2 linked regions of the Sus scrofa genome follow. The protein of the gene in region 1 purifies or fractionates together with the protein of each later gene. This does not show direct contact. Links are inferred from orthologs where the notes say so. Each region holds a gene or a part of one and is shown in the gene's direction. Other genes may lie near its edges.

Region 1 (4,251 bases):
CTAGGGCCAAAGCAGTAAAAGCACCTAATCCCAACCATTAGACCATCAGGAACGCCCCTATATTGCTAACTTTCATGTAAAGGAAGACAAAATGAAAGGCTTTTCTATGGATACATATACGTTCGTAAAAGTATTAATAAAGGCTGCAGTGGTATCCACGGAATAGGTGATATTGGCTACCTTTAGAGTGAAGAGACTGAGTTTTGGGGTGGAAATCAAGGACACTTTCAGATTTTTTTCTGTAATTTTCTAATTGATTTTTCCTCCTTTTCCTCCTCCCTGCTCTTGCTCCTCCTTTTTCTCATTCTCCTCTCCCTCCTCCTTGAGTGGTTGGTGTTCCCATACCCAGTGGGTTATTAAAAAAACAAACCATAACAACAAAAGAGTTTATATTTAGTGCAATCTCCCTAAAAACCACATCCAAGGCAAATAATTTTCAAAGGAAAAGTAACTACCATTTATTTCATCGGAAAAATTTGTACCCTTCATGTTGTCCAGACATAAACCATACACACAGACAATAATGTGAACAGTTAAAATCAGTTTGCATAACCCGACCTAACAAGGTGGCTTCCCGTTAATATTTGATAGGTACATTTACCTGTTTTGTTTCAGCCCTTACATATCCTGCAGATAAAACTATGGACTCAAAGAAAATAAACATACTCTTGTATATTGCAAGTTTAATGTAAAAAAGCAAAGTAAGGCAAATTCATGAAAACAATGAAAATGACGTATGAGATTATCATCACTACAAACTAGCAAACTACAGGTACCCTGCGACAGCTGGAACACACGCCAGCCAGCTGAGGCCATGAACTTGGGCTCCTGGCTTCTTGCTAGGACGAAATCCATGGGAAAAAATGCCTCCTGAGCTCAATTAGGGGTAAAGGTCAATTCTCGGACCCCTAGTAGGTAGCGAGGTAGGTCGCTTGCCAAAGTAACATTTTAAGTCGTGTGGAAGGAGTGTAATCAACAGCTATTCCCTTTCCTGTATTTTTCGAATTTACACTTAAATGGGACTAGTCTAGGTCGTCAAAAGTCTAGGGTTTTAATTCTGCCACCAACGGACTTTAGTCAAATCACATTCTCATCCGTGAAACTGGGGTGAGGAGTTTGAATCTCCAAAATCTCCGTTACTTTTACTTGTTTTTCAGCCGAACAGGTGGAATATGGACGTTTCGGGGCCAGGGATGGAATCCCAGCCGCAGCTGAGACGTACCCCACATACTCTGTATTTTGCAGCTACGGCCAGGCGAGATCCTTAGCCTATTGCGCCCGACAGGGGGATCGAACCGCTACTCATCAGCGACCAGAGCGGTTGCGGAAAACAACGATCCCAGCTACGTTTAGAGCCAAATGAATAATCCCGCCTCCGGCAGTTTCGCCTAAGAACCATTTTGGCCTTCTCGGCTCACCGTCCGCGCAGCCTCCGGAAGCGATCTAAGCTCCGCCCCCTGCGCTCCGGACGGCGCGAAAACCCAATTGACAAGAATTCCCTGGGAAGCCCGCGGGTTGGGTCTACGTTTGGCCTGGTTTTCCCTCCGAGGTCCTGGGCCCGACGTCGGAATTGGAGTGTCCTCGTTGGAGGTACCCCCCACCGACCGCGCTACAGGGTCCTCTTCGCGCTTTCTCACCACCTCTTCCCGCGTTCGAGTCAGCTGAGCTCTCGGCCCAGCCTTTGCGACCACCCGGGCGGTGGACGCGGGGGGTTCCAGGCAGACCCCGCGGCCCAGCTTCTTGCTCCCGTTGGAGCAGGCTGCCTCCATGGCCTCCAGACAGGTCGGACCGGGCTGCGTAAGGTCCTAGGAGCTGGGATTCCGGGAAGCAGGGAGCATGGTGGGGTCCTGGCCATGGCGGCTGCAGCTGCCACCCCTCCGGTGAGGGATTACGAGATTGAGGTGAGCTTGAGTATCTCTATTTGTTGGAGGTGGGTGAAAGAGGGTTCTGATCTAGGATCTATGAGGGGAAAGAAGGGACCTGGTGAGGCCCCTTTGTTGTGTCTTTGGGTGGAACAGTCGCTGGAGTGTGTCCTAAAGCCGCGGTAGGTACCCATAAACATTAGGATTGAGGATGTTGAGGGGCCTAGTTAAGGACCAGTTTATAGATCCTGAAATGTTCCTGAAACTTGATAATTTGGACTAGTGAAATGTCATGGAGTCTTCCAGGGTCAAGTCTGGATAAGGAATCACAGAACTTTAGCGTGGAAAAGAATCTTTTTGTCCACCCACCTGTGCTAGGAATAGCACTTGGTGTGTCACTACAGGAATCAAACAAGGTACATAATTTAAAAATCACTTTCTCATTGCTCTAGAACTTAAGATACTGCAGGAAGAAGTCTCAGCTTGGTATGCTGTTTATTCTTATGTGTTCTAGTTTCAGTGAAATGCACTAAAGAGATTCTAATGTCATAAAGTAGTGGAGTATCATCAAGTAGACAATTTTGCTATATTTTCACACCTTTTCATCCCAAGCTAGCCTTGTAACTGACATATGCATACTGGTGTCATTGAAGTGAGCCAAGACATAGGTTCACTCACTGAACTGGGACTGTTTCTTACTTTTTAGTATTGAGTACTTTTGGGAGTTCCTGTTGTGGCTCAGTGGTAATGAACCTGTCTAGTGTCCATGGGGTTGCAGGTTCAATTCCTGGCCTTGCTCAGTGGGTTAAGGATCTGGCATGGCTGTGGCTGTGGTGTAGGCTGGCAGCTGCAGCTCCAGTTTGACCTCTGGCCCGGGAACTTTCATTTGCTGTAGGTGCGGCCCTAAAAAGCAAAAATAAATAAATAGAATTGAGTACTTTTTGCCTTCTTGTTAATATTTGTTATGCAGATGCTTGTTTGCTGGATCAAGGCAGTTGCTGGGTTTGTCTTGGGTGTGAAGAATTTTTGATAACTTGAATTACGCAATTCTTGCTTTTTGTTTGGTCAGTTTCTGAATCTTTTTGTTACAATTTCTTCTTTTGGTGCCCTGCTTAGAGTACTATTTCAGGGCACCAAATATTGTTTAGTATTGTGACAGTAAAGGCCTTATACACATTATTTTACCTAATAGCAATCCTGTGTTGAGGTGTTATTATCTGTATTCTAAAGATGAGAGAAAGTTAAGAATTAAAAGTTGAATTAAGGTAGAAAAATAAATTAGAAAATTAAAAGTAATTTGCTTAGGGTCCCATGCTGGTAGCTTTCAGAGCCAGCACTCAAACTTAGATCTGCTTGACTCCAGAGCCTCTGGTACCATCTCAGGATAATAATAATACTAACAACTCATTAGCATTTCTTCTAATACATTTACCATTTCATTTTAAGATGTAAAGTTTTAATCTGTCTCTCTTTTGCCTCATGTTTATCCAAATGGTTAGAAATTTGCCCCAATGCTATGTATTAACTTCTTTGCCCACTAACTTGAGTGTAACTATTGTTACATTTATATATACCAAAGTCTTAAATATACATGTATCCTTTTCTAGTTTTTGTGTCCATTCTGTTAAGTTGCCTGCCTATTCATGTCACACATTCTTTCTTTTTCTTTTTTTTTTTTTTTTTTTGGTCTTTTTAGGACTACCCACGGGATATGGGGGTTCCCAGGCTAGGGACTGAATCAGAGCTGTAGTCACTGGCCTACACCACAGCCACAGCAATGCCAGATCTGAGCCATATCTGTGATCTACACCACAGCTCACAGCAACACTGGATCCTTAACCCACTGAGCAAGGCCAGGAATTGAACCTGCATCCTCATGGATACTAGTCGGGTTCATTGTCACTGAGCCACAATGGGAACTCCTAAAGCTCTTTTTCCCCCTAGTATATCATGTATATCAACTAAGGGAAGCTTCCTTTTTTTGTCCCATTACATAAAATAATAGATCCATGTTTAACATTTATGTTTTGAACTCCATATGCCACGGGGTGCCTAAAAAAGAAAAAAATACAATAGAATAAAATAAAATTTATGTTTTGTAGTATTTTGCTTGAAATAAGTGCTTTTTCCTTCTTTTAAATTGATAGGCATGCAAGAAGCGAAGGAAAGATGATGACAGAACTTCTTGTAAAACAATTACAAAATATTTATCACCAGTCAGGAAAACTGGAGACAGGGTTTTCTCTCCACCAAAATCCAGTAACATTCTGGATTATTTTAGAAAGACTTCACCCACAAATGAGAAGACCCAGACAGCAAAAAAGTACAAGATAAAGTCATCCACACCATTGCCTGCTGACCGTGGCAAAGCCTGTAAAACACCTTTGGA
Region 2 (3,971 bases), on another chromosome or scaffold:
TAGGCATCATGCTTTCTTCTTCGTTGTGTGGGATGTGAGATAATTTGTACTTATTCAGTGGGGATCAGAGGGTATGTTCCAGTTTGCCACAAGTCACTGGATCTCTAAAAACTTCACTGATGTGGTAACTCCCTGAATCTTCATCTAGCCTTTATTTCTGTCCTCTGGAATGCATGTGCCTTATCTACTCTTCCAGTGTATTTGACACTTCTTATTTTATCATTTAATATAGTAAACACCGTGATCTTCTGCAGAATGTCCAGATGGCCCAGGTCCTTGAGACTATGTTATGGCCAAGGGTAGATTCAACATAGCTTGAGGGCAACACTGTGAGTGTATTGTGTGTCCTGTCCTATGGTAATGTGAACTGTTTCTGTCCTCCAATAAGGACGGAAAAGAACACATTATCAGATTGATAGCCATATACTATATATCTAAAGTCCTTTTTAGGGAGTTCCCATCCTGGCTCAGCGGGAACGAATCTGGCTAGGATCCATGAGGACGCAGGTTTGATCCCTGGCCTGGCTCAGTGGGTTAAGGATCCGGCATTGCCCTGAACTGTGGTGTAGATTGGAGACGCGGCTCGGTTCTGACGTTGCTGTGGCTGTGGCATAGGCCAGCGACTACAGTTCCAATTCAGCCCCTAGCCTGGGAACCTTCATATGCCATGAGTGCGGCCCTAAAAAGACAAAACAAAATATATAAAGCCATTTTAATCTGATCTAGTAAAGACACTGTATCTGGTTCAGTTGTAATTGGGAGGCTACTGCTTGGTTGAGTTTACAGTAACCCACTGCTATCCTCCATTGTATATCTAGTTTCTATAGGGGCCACAGCGATGAACAGAAAAGGCATGTGATAAAGACCACTATCCCTGCCTACGTCAGTGTTTAAGGGGAGGTGGCACTACTATTTGCCAGACCACTTCATAGGGCATTGTTTGTGGTTTACCATCCTGGCTGGGGCGGGGAAGGTGGTTTCACAGGCTTCTACTCGGCTTTCTCTACTATAAAAACCCAGTCCGAGGGCTGCGCGGGGACAGGATGAAGCACCGTCATTCCTGTACAGCCTGTGCAACCTTGAAAGTCTGCCTCTGACCTGCTTAACTACCAGGAACCGGAGGAAACGGCTCCCTTAAAGCGGGGCGCGCGCGGCGGGCCGGAAGTGACGCGTGACGCGCGGCGTGTTCCCGCCCTTCCCTTCGCTGGCTGTTCCTGGCGGGAACTCGGGCGGCTTGCTGACGCCGGCGATTCTAACTGCCCTGAGTCTGGCGGCCCTCGGCTTCTTGGGCCTGACATTCTCGGCTTGGGGAACGCAGCTAAGACTCCGTGACCGCCTAGGCCCTCTCTCTGTCCGGGAAACCCCAGGAACGAGCCGGCGGCGTCCACGCTCCGAAGACGAGAGTCTGAAAGGCCCAGGCAGTGCCTGGGAGGGAACACGCGAGGGGAGCCGGGGAGAACAGGTGACCAGCCGAAGGAATTGCGAGGGTTGCCTTCGCCTTCCTCTACTTCGCCCTCGGCGCCCCTGTGCTGTTATTCCACCGCCCGACGAAAGTGCTCACAGTGGCTGGACCAGCGCTCCAGCCTCGCCACTTTCTACCCTTTGCGCCCTGTTTGGTGTAACGGTGGCTCAATCCAGCATCACTCAGAGCCCTGCTTTGGGCGTTATTATTGTTCGGCAGCCTGTGGCGGGGATGGAGTAATTCAAGAATGTTAGAAACGTTAGTTGTTTACAGACATTACCAGTTTGTTTATTGATGTGTGTCAAGCACAGAACTGGGTGTGCACAATTCTTTGAATTGACTCAGTTACCTTGTGGAATGAGCCTTAATTTCTTTTTACAGAGGGGGAAACTGAGTCTCATAAATGGTAATTCAGTCACCAGTCTTACGGAGCACCTACTATTTACCAGTCACTGCTCTAGGCGCTGAGGGTACAGCGGTGGGAAAAAAAAAGGAATTGCCGCTAATGCTGGGTATTTTGAGATGAGCTGTCCTAAAAACAGCCTTGTGTTGCTGGGAGGAATGTTTACCTGAATGTTAATACTGCTTATCTTCTGGGTGAGATTTTGTGTGAATTTTTAAAACTCCCCACGCTTTTCTGCACTGTTTAGATTTCTCCAGATGAGCCTGTTATCAGAAAAACAGCTGTTGCCACTTTAACATCGGCATGTCCTCCCCCACCCCCCAAAAAAGCTTCTAAAGGCAGTTACATGGGCTCTGCCAGTAAAATAGGCCCTTCAGTAAGAGCTCTAGACCCCAAAGAAATGGAGTTTCCAACTTGGGGTCCCAATGCTCCTCCTAATTGCTGAGTCCACTCCCGAGCCTGAGCTAGAGCTAGGCACATGACTGAATTGGAAGGGTCTGGAGAAACCCATGTGCAGTTTGTCCGTTGAAGCCATTCCAAGAAGTTTGGAACTCTTAATTTTTTTTTTGTCATAAGATTTATCTTTATTCTATAGCTTGCTCACTATAAATAAATTTTAAATTCCTTCAGCACTTTGGCCTCCATTATGTCCCTCTAGCCCTCAGTACAGTGCATTCAGAGGATGCTAGGTCATTGGGTGATGTCCTTTATTTAGCAAGTATTTATTGAATATCTTTGTACAAAGTTTAGTGTGCTTTCAAGTTGTACTTCTTCATAATGGTTTCAAGATAACTTTCCTATTCTGTCTCGCACCTGGTCAGGGTGAAGTAACCATGCAGGCGTTTCTAAAAGGCACATCTATCAGCACTAAACCACCATTGACCAAGGATCGAGGAGTAGCTGCCACTGCCAGAAGTAGTGGAGAGAACAAGAAAGCCAAACCTGTCCCATGGGTGGAAAAATAGTAAGAACATTTGTGTTTTTATTAAAATAGTTCATAAATTACTTCTCTGACCATTTTTCTTTCTTCTCTTTTTAGGGGCACACCTGAAGCATATGGAGGTTCCCAGGCTAGGGGTCAATTTGGAGCTCCAGCCACTGGCCTACACCACAGCCACAGCAATGCCAAATCCGAGCTGTGTCTGTGACCTACACCACAGCTCACGGCAACGCCGGATCCTTAACCCACTGAGCAAGGCCAGGGATCGAACCCATATCCTCATGGATGTTAACCTGCTGAGCTACAATGAGAACTCCTAAATGATATTTTAACAAGTGGTTGAAACCTCTGGTGTATCCTCAGTTATTATCAAAGGATTGCAGGATTACTTATAAGCCGAATAATGCCTTCATAAGTGTTATTTGGCACCAACACTACTTTTAAAAATGGGAAATTTCACATAAAAATCTAGAATCTTAAATAAATTATACAAGAGAAAAGATCTAGACTTTCAGCCTCTCAGGAGATGCAGCACTAGATGCAGGTTCTCACCTGACAGCACTTAGATGAACATGAGTACTGCTTCTCATTTTGGTAAAGTCATACATTCCTTACTTCATAGTCCTTTCTAGTGCCTCTTGCCTTACATTCTGCTCTTCACTCTTGTCTTCTGCCTGGCCCCTGCAGGTATTTGAATATGAAACCTAGTGTATAATATACAGTAGATAACATAATCTGAAATAAAATTCCTGCCTGGCATTGGCCTGATTAATTAGAAAAGTATAAATCAAAGAATAGCTTTTGAGGAGTTCCTGTCATTGCGCAGCAGAAACGAATCCGACTAGGAACCCTGAGGTTTCAGGTTTGATTCCTGGCCTCGCTCAATGGGTTAAGGATCTAGCATTGCCATGAGCTGTGGTATAGGTCGCAGACGTGGCTCAGATCCCATGTGGCTGTGGTGTAGGCCAGCAGCTACAGCTCTGATTAAACCCCTAGTCTGGGAACCTCCATGTGCTGTGGGTGTGGCCCTTAAAAAAGAAAAAAAAAGACCAGCTTTTGATTAGTGAACTAAGCACAGAGCCTAATCTAAGGGTTGGGAGTGTTATTTAGTTTAGCATTAGTTAATGGTGTAAGACAAATGTTGTTATACTTTGTATTGCTTAAAC

What was found. Proteins that work in one complex are often made in the same cells at the same time.
Region 2: the proteins of ATAD5 (region 1) and RFC4 purify together in Homo sapiens (affinity purification with mass spectrometry; 5 studies listed by BioGRID and IntAct, counting the BioPlex papers as one, with this or other methods). This does not show direct contact. The link is inferred for Sus scrofa from reciprocal best matches to the Homo sapiens genes ATAD5 and RFC4.

Annotation. Positions count from the first base shown.
Region 1 is NC_010454.4:42,917,632-42,921,882, reverse strand, and holds the start of ATAD5 (ATPase family AAA domain-containing protein 5), read left to right. Parts: upstream 1-1,444; 5' UTR 1,445-1,853; coding exon 1,854-1,901; intron 1,902-4,009; coding exon 4,010-4,251. UniProt on the Homo sapiens protein: Has an important role in DNA replication and in maintaining genome integrity during replication stress.
Region 2 is NC_010455.5:124,601,619-124,605,589, reverse strand, and holds the start of RFC4 (replication factor C subunit 4), read left to right. Parts: upstream 1-1,168; 5' UTR 1,169-1,462; intron 1,463-1,698; exon of another isoform or gene 1,699-1,720; intron 1,721-2,683; exon of another isoform or gene 2,684-2,686; 5' UTR 2,687-2,698; coding exon 2,699-2,829; intron 2,830-3,971. UniProt on the Homo sapiens protein: Subunit of the replication factor C (RFC) complex which acts during elongation of primed DNA templates by DNA polymerases delta and epsilon, and is necessary for ATP-dependent loading of proliferating cell nuclear antigen (PCNA) onto primed DNA.